Linked DNA regions of Nothobranchius furzeri. The protein of the gene in region 1 purifies or fractionates together with the protein of each later gene. This does not show direct contact. Links are inferred from orthologs where the notes say so. Each region holds a gene or a part of one and is shown on either strand. Other genes may lie near its edges.

The links.
Region 2: the proteins of ralbp1 (region 1) and AP-2 complex subunit mu-A purify together in Homo sapiens (affinity purification with mass spectrometry; 3 studies listed by BioGRID and IntAct, counting the BioPlex papers as one, with this or other methods). This does not show direct contact. The link is inferred for Nothobranchius furzeri from reciprocal best matches to the Homo sapiens genes RALBP1 and AP2M1.

Annotation. Positions count from the first base shown.
Region 1 is NC_091751.1:42,837,280-42,841,574, forward strand, and holds the start of ralbp1 (ralA-binding protein 1), read left to right. Parts: upstream 1-1,266; 5' UTR 1,267-1,349; intron 1,350-3,869; 5' UTR 3,870-3,923; coding exon 3,924-4,173; intron 4,174-4,295. UniProt on the Homo sapiens protein: Multifunctional protein that functions as a downstream effector of RALA and RALB. As a GTPase-activating protein/GAP can inactivate CDC42 and RAC1 by stimulating their GTPase activity.
Region 2 is NC_091751.1:56,895,531-56,899,780, reverse strand, and holds the start of AP-2 complex subunit mu-A, read right to left. Parts: upstream 2,935-4,250; 5' UTR 2,795-2,934; intron 1,521-2,794; 5' UTR 1,473-1,520; coding exon 1,399-1,472; intron 1-1,398. Other genes in the region: sf3a2 (splicing factor 3A subunit 2), read right to left, coding at 4,243-4,250.

The DNA.
Region 1 (4,295 bases):
GGTAGCTGTGGCTACATTGTAGCTCATCACCATCAGTGTGTGAATGTGTATGTGAATAGGTGAATGACTGATTGTGTTGTAAAGCGCCTTGGGGGGCTTCCAAGACTCTAGAAGGCGCTAAATCAAATACAGGCCATTTGCCAGCTACCTTTGTTAACTGAGCAGTGAAAAACGGATGAATGATTGACAAATTGTATTCTTAAAAAATTATATTTATTCTTTAAAAAGAAAGAAAGTCCCATCTCACCCTCTGCGGTTGGTCTCATCCTTCCATGCTAGGGTCCTTACCAGTGGCCTGGGAGCTTGAGGGTTCTGCACAGTAGCTGTTCCTAGAACACACACGAACACACACACACACACACACACACACACACACACACACAGACACACACACGTGCGCGTGTGTGTTAACATTGTACAGTATTTTTCAAAAAAGGATATTCTCAAGTGAAATTTTCATTTTGCCGCTAATTTCAAAAGTACACATTTGTAATTGAAATGAAATTAAGGTGTATTTTTGTTTTTATTTGTTTATTTATTTTCCTTTTATTGCATTTAAAAGTCTCTCTGAGGTTTTAATCCCCTTCTGTTTGCTCCTACCTGGAGCAAACAGAAGAGCACACATCACCCCTATTCTGATGTCTCTGCACTGGTTACCCGTTAACTTTAGAGTTCATTTTAGAATCCTGACTATAACTTTCAGGGCTCTACATGGTCAAGCTCCTCCCTATATTACTGAACTGTTAAAGCCTTATGCTCCAACCTGAGCCCACAGATCCACACAACAGAACCTTCTAGAAGTTCCAAAGACCAGATACAAAAGTTGAGGTGATCGCTCCTTCCAGGCTGTTGCACCCCCACTTTGGAATGATCTTCCTTTATCCTTAAGTAGCATTGACAGTCTGGACACTTTTAAAAAACAGCTGAAGACCCTTCTATTTGCTGCTTTTACATAAATCTTTTATTTTCTTACGTTTAACTCAAATTTGTAATTTTTCATCTGTTTATGAAATTTAATAATTTATGACAATGGTTTGAGATCATTATGATTTATTACTTTATATTTTATTTTTGTTTTGATCTATGTGAAGCACTTTGTGATTCTATGTCTTTGAAAAGTGCTACATAACTAACATTTACTAACTCACTAGTGAGAAAACATCAGGAACACGTTCAAATCCATTTTCCTTCAGTTGTTTGGCTGTTGAACTAATTTTGTGCCCGACAGCGTATGCGTTAATTTCAACTACATTTCCCACCATGCCCTTTTGAAACGACGCACGCGCAAATGGGTTTATTTGACACGCATAACCGGAAGCTCCATTGTGGGATTGACCGAAGAAGACTTGGTAAAGTTTATTTTCCCTTAAGCACAAGTCGTTTGTCTACAGTGCAGCAGTCACAAAATTAAGTTTTGCCTCTTTGTGTTCATTTACACGTTTCACGTTGTTTTTGTGTGAACGAAATAACGGATTTTATCGCGATGGACAGGTTTACAGCTAGCGGACTTACCGTTAGCATACGGGCCCCTACTTCACACAACAGCTAACTTTATGAATATGCTTTAAATATTTAGCGCAGACGATGAATTAAATTGCTTTAATAGCAGTATGCTAATATATGAGTAGTTGTGTGGAGTGAGTTTTTGTAGGAAGGGGAAGGTGGGGGTGATCAACCCAAAACGATGGAAGATTAGAATGTAACGTAGATGCAGACAATACTTATTAGTCGTTTTGTCTAATTGTTCTGTTAAGAGAGTGTAAGAGAACTTAATATTGTTCTATTTTATTGTTTATGTCTTTAATGACGCTATTGTACATTTTCTTCAATGAGAAAAGTGGTGGGAACAAAAAAAGCCGGTTCAGCCTGCTGTCAGTGATAGACCGCATCTTCCCGTAACTTCCTATAACTGATCGGGTTCTGTTTTACAATCAAAGCTGAACAAATATCTGATTATCTGATGGTTTCTGTGCTGGTGGAAAGGATTTGCGGTTTTGTTTTTGCTGGCAGTTATGTTGAGGATGATGGAACTGTTAGAAAAGCAGAAGCCCCATCTGGTGGATGTGTCCCTTTTCACACAGTCATCATCTAAGGAGGAAGATGAGGCAGCAGTGGTCTTGATTGAGCTTTAAGAGTTATTATTACAGATGTTTGTTGTAGATGAAACAGGAAGAGCAAGAAATGTGCTCAGAGAAATCATATTTTTTTTACAATGTAACTTAAGGTTTGTGAACTGTAAACAAGGTTTGTTTTTCCAAAGCTGACTCAGTTTACTGTTCATGCTTTCATTTGATGATGGGTAAATCATCAGTCATCATTCACTTCTAACAGAAGTGAACAGTCTCAATTTTGAGTTGCTCTGCGTTCCTGTAAAAATTCTCCAAATGAATCAGACTTTTAAAACCACCATTACACATTTTTTGAGCTGTTCTTCAAGTTTGCTGAATGTTTTTTAAAGTCTTGCTTTTGCTGCTTTCATTTTTCGCTTTGTTCCGGTTCTTGTATTGGACAGTTTTTGTCTTAAGAGTAGGACGATAACAGTGATTAATATTGCAATGAGGATATTACTTGCAATAAATAAAAACTTAACTCAGGAACAAAAATAATCAAAAACAAAGACATAAAAAAATTATTAAAAATATCATAAAAATCAGAAAAACAAATGATGCGAGAAAATGGATAAAGAAAATGAACAAGAAAAGGTAATCAGTGGATCCCAGGAAAAGCAGAATCATCAGAAAGAGCAGAACAAAGCTAACTCAGGTGTTTGCTAACCATCAAAATGAAGTGCCGTCTTCCTCGGGGGCGGCATCTAACCTATGAGAACCCACCCAATTGGCCAAATGGGTGAAGAGCTTTATTTGATTTGTTAAAAAAAACACCATGCTTCCATTTGATTGACAGAACGCATTATGTGTAGCAAACATTTGAGCTGACCATTCATTGCAATATTTGTCTGTTCTTTGCGATATGCATATTGCGCATGCTGATATCGCGATAACGATATATTTGCAACATATTGTGCAGCCCTACTTAAGAGTAATATTGTTTGCTTTGACCCATAAGCCACTCAGCAATGTAAAGACTCCTAAACTCTTACGTTATGCCTCACAGACATTGCTAAAAATGTCACAAACTTAAGTGTGAAAAAAATGTGAAAGAGCAAGTCACCCCCTACCAGAGTCTAACTTATCCCATTTCCTGTTTGAAAAATGTGTCACAAGAAGGCGTTTCCTGGCAGAAAGAGAGGGCAGAGCCGCTAACAAATAAACACACACAAGCTCACAGTGGAATTGTGACATCATATGGTACCAGCTAACATCATAGGGTACCCCTTAGCCAATAGCAATGGCAGATTTAAATTCAAATGTACTGCAGAGTTTTTACCTGAAGAGGACACAACACTGACAGTTTTAGGCAGAATTTTACATTTTTAACTAAGATGCACTAAAGTGCCAAATTATTGATTACACGTCTCCAGCACTCATGTATATAGTTTATCAGCAAAAAAAAGTTGATTTAGGGGTGACTTGCTCTTTAAATAAGCAACAAAAGTCCAGGAAGGTTATTCAGAAAACCAGCTGTCTGTTAATCAAGATTACTTTGAAAGATTTAAGGGAAAAAGTAAAGATCCTTAAACTTCGCCCAAGATGTTTGTGGGGGTTTGGTTCTTTTATTCTGCATCCAAAGACCACCAACTGCTGCCCCTGGTGACTAGACTATGTTATTGTAATACATGTGAAAACCCATTTTAATTTACAAAGAAAACCTAAATATTGTTATTATATAAAATATAATTATTTAATATAATTAGTCGTTATCATTGTATTATAAAATCTTGTTATTGAACATTTTTTTTGTCACTGTAGGTGTGATGGAGAGGTGATGTTCCAGTCAGAGGAGCGCTAAAGGCCAGAGAAGCTATGACTGAGTGCTTCCTACCCCCCAGCAGCAGCCCTGCAGAGCAGCGCAGGGCTGAGCACCCGGGGGGCGTTGCTCGTACCCCCAGCTCCGAGGAGATCAGCCCTACCAAGTTCCCCGGGTTGTATCGTGCCAATGAACATTCGCCGCCTCATGATGGACATCACCACGAGGCACCTGACACATACGTCTCTGACGATGACAAGGAGCACAGCAAGAAGAAGAACAAGTTTAAAAAGAAGGAGAAAAGGAGTAGGATATGTTTTAATCTTCTGAAAATGATTATTTCTTCTGTTAAATCAAACCTGCTTTAGTTATGGGGAATGACCTGAAGCTGTTTTACTCCAAAGGTATGCTGGTATTTGTCACTAATC
Region 2 (4,250 bases), about 14 Mb from region 1:
GGGGACGAATACCTACGAAAACTACTGAAGCAACATCAATAAGCTATGAAATTCATGGATTCACACAACTATGCTTTTTCCAGCATAATGCAATGAAAATAAAATGAGCGGGTGTTTTAATTTTCTTTTCTTTTTTGGGTTCAGTGGAATTTTGTACAACACACAGTGGTGAAAGCACACACACGAGCAGATGTTTATTCTGGGAAAGCAAGGTGGAAATTCTACTTAGATCATATCCATAACACGTTGCACAAGAGCAGTGCAGACCTTACATTTGCCCTAACACAGCAATGCCTTTTTGTAAAATGAATGAAATTAAAAAAAAGTGAGTGGCTACATTTTTCCATCTATTGCTGCTCAGCACTGGTTGTGATGACTCAGCTCCGTTTTTAAACCACATTTCAGAATAAGTATCCAGCATGGGTTTCATTACATGTTTTAACCTTTCATAATAAAATTTTTAATGCAGGAGTTCAAGTCTTTCCTTTGAGGACCCCATAGCCCATGTCCAAGACAAGCCAGGACCCCAACCCCAACATGCATTACACATTAATGTGATCATTTACAAACTTTTATATGGAGTTCTGATTATACTGTAGGGTGTGTTACCATGATTTTCTAAATGTAATTTTTTTTTTTTTACAAATAAAATCTTGCCAACCTCAGCTAAGAAAATGCCCAGTAATCTTATTGGGACACCTTGGGGGCCCAGACCCCCAATTTGGGAACCCCTGCTCTAATGAACTCAGACATTTAAAAGAGCAAAGGTGAACAAATTAATTAAATTTACCACAGATGCAGCAATAAGATATTCTGCTCACAGACACGCCTCTTTTCGTTTAGTGTAAATGATTACAGCAGAAATAATTATTTATATATTTTGCTAACAAAGTAAAATATTAACCATAGCATTGTATAAAATAATGCATTCAATATTAATCATCAATACAGAAAGGTCTATTTTGCATTAAACAGTTTGACTTACAAGAGTGAGAAAATCACAAGTGTAGTCAAGTGTATTTGCAAACACAAATGTATTGAGGCAAAAAAAAAAAAAAGAAGAAAAGGAACACATTTTAGCAAATAAATTACTTGGTCAGAAGAAGAAAATGATAATTCAAATACTATCCCACCATGAGGAAACTGGCAGTGAAGCCAATTTGAATTTGAGCATTCCACACAGCTGCGTCTAATCTTTTAATTTGAAGGTGTGGTTTATGATAAGCACAAGGGAAGCAAATCATTGCCTCAGACAATAAAATTGTGTTGTTTCTTTGCAGAAACATGCCAAACACTAATTTAGCTAAACAGAAACCCATAATAATCCTCTCATCCAGAATCAAACCTAAACAGTCCACCCACAAGATTATCATCGCACATAATGTCTGAGAAACATACCCTATGTCATCTCGGTAGACGCGGGAGATGAGAACCTCTCCCTTGTGGTTGTAGATGAACAATCCTCCAATCATTGTGAATGCTTCTCAATCCCAACTTGCCATGATGAAACCAAACCCCTCCTGAGGATAAAAAAAAAGATTGAAATTTGGGAAGGAAAAGGGGAGATAGGAAAGTAAAAGCAGTGTAAAGTAAAAGTCACCCACAGTACAGAGAGGCACTTGTCCCTCGCATCCGTTTTCCTGTTTCTCTCACTCACACACTCTCTTGCAGCTGCACTACACCATTAGTGACTTTATTAAATCACTCATTTGCATAGCTGCACCAGCTTTTTAGGCAGCTTCACCTCTCTCTTTCTCACACACACACACACACACACACACACACACACACACACACACACACACACACACACACACACACTTCCAAATAAGATTAACAGATTAGCAGCAGCCACCGGTTTGGGGTAGGATGCTACCAGATAAAGATATAAATCTGAGATCATCATAGTCCGCTAAACCCTACCTAGACCTGGTAGGACTAACATCCGAAATGTACCATTTTTATCCCCGTGGGGATGTAAGTTTTTTTTAATTAAGTGTATTTTACTAATAAAACTGCCAGTTTAAAAAATGCTGCTTCTAGAAAATTTAGGATGGAAAAAGGACATCCATGGCATTCCTAGAAGGCATAACTGAAACACTTTTATAGAGAGTGTTGAGAATTTTCTTAAACAAATTACTACTAGCAGTCGTGACCGATTAAACCCTGCACCAAACCTGAATCGTACATTTATCGGTTTAGTCAAGATGTCTGCTCACTCGGGCCATTTACCAATGTTCATACATTTTATATATTTTTCTACCATCGATGTATAATCTTTTCCCTGTATGGTTTGTTTAAAACGTTATTTAAATGTATTAGCTCGGTTCAAAATTTGACCTTCAGTATGATCAAAGTGATGGAGAATACCCTGAAGACAGCGATGGCTAGCTAATTTAGCAGGCTAGCTGCCGACGATCCTCAGCGAGCCGAGCGGATTTTTAACGGGCTTCCGGTGGGTAGAAAAACTGAGGTTATCGCGTGTGTTACAGCAAGTTACAGTGACTTACGTGTAAACGATATGAATTACATAACAAACCAACTAAAACAGCATCAAAATGTTATGTGATGGCACGTTTTAAGCTTTGAAGGAATCTTAAAGCATGCTTTCCGTTATCATCAAGCTAACCGCGGCTAGCTTGACGTTAACTAGCCGCGGTTAGCTGAGGAGTTGCTAATGTTAGCGTCGTCAACGAAAGAGAGCGCTCACCTGTTTTCTCTGGCGGTTTACAGATCACAGTAAATCGTTTTTACTGCAAAAATACATGACTGAATCTCCGTTTCGTTAACTTACTCTTGTTCTTTCACGAACACCACCACTCTTTGGCTTCCAGGCTAGCCTTTGGGTGTATTTTATGTCCAACAGAATCCCTGCTCACAGCCGCAAATTCCGCTTCTTCCTTCCCCCGGTCCGCTGATGCCTGTCAGCTGACCCGCCGTCTTTACGAACGACTGTTCCGTTGTGACAGGAAAAGGCGTGGCTGGTGCGATGTGTAAACCGCACCCAGGCCTTGAAATGATAAGCCACGCAGGCTAATATTCGTTAATTGTCTGGTATTTTACAATTATATAGGTCAGCCTCCTTTACAAAAAATATATCAGAACATGTCAAAATATATTGACAAAATATGAGGTACGGACGCTGTCAGAATAAAAAAAAACGTAGTCAGGTTAAACTGTGCGCATATTGTTAAATAGATGTGCCTAACTAGAAACATAATTTCATCCCCCACTTGTGATTAAATGGGGCAAATGCTGTAAACGACTCTAGAGCGCCCCCCGTTGGTTACTCGTGTAAGGCAGAAAATCTACTGCAAACATGAGCTACAAAAATCGTGATTAACGATTCTTACAAATAGATTGTATGAAACATTATACAAATTCTGCTAAATACATAAACATAAATTCAGTTTGTCACATCTCCGAGGTGAAATGCCCAAACAAAGGCTCCAAACTGGGCCAGTGGCAGCGAAGGGTAAGGCGAACACTTTTGCAATGCCATGGAGCATCTTCGAAAGTCTTCTGCCAGAGAAAGCAATGCTGATGGATATCTTCAGAGGTCTTCATTGCAGCAGACTGGAGTGTCCACAGACACAGGACAAAGAAACTCTTGAATGATATTTGGCGTGGAGCACATCAAATTTTTTTGAGAATGTTCTCTAATCCATAGTTTGTGATTACCAACAGTCCTCAAAAGGTTTCCAATTGGGGTCATGGTCACCCCTGGAAACTTGGGTCACAAAAAAATAAAACATCTGTGTGTTCAGCAGAAGTTCATAAAATTAAAACATTTTATTTTAAAAAGATTTTATGAGTACATACACTGAATACATAGTCTGAATAATTGATACCAAAATGAAAACTGCTGTTAAAATATAATTCAAACTGATTTAGGCAGTGTTGAAGATCAATTTAAATACAGAAAAATCAATTTTGTTGATTTGTTTTATTTTAACCTGATCAGAGTAAACTTCAGATAATTCTCTGTATTTTTTGTAGAACAAACACTCAGGTATTTTCAGTATTTGTGTATTTTAATTAAAAAATGGACATAAGAAATAAAAATGTGTCCAGATATTAGTTTACAAGAGGACGATAATGTTTCCATAACATTTAGCTTTAGAATTTTATTTTTAGGCAAACAAAGTTATGAAAATCTACTGAAGATATCCAACATCCTAAAAATACAAAACAGGCAGAGCAGAACAACTGACCACCAATGCAATTTCTAACAGCAAATTATCACTGCA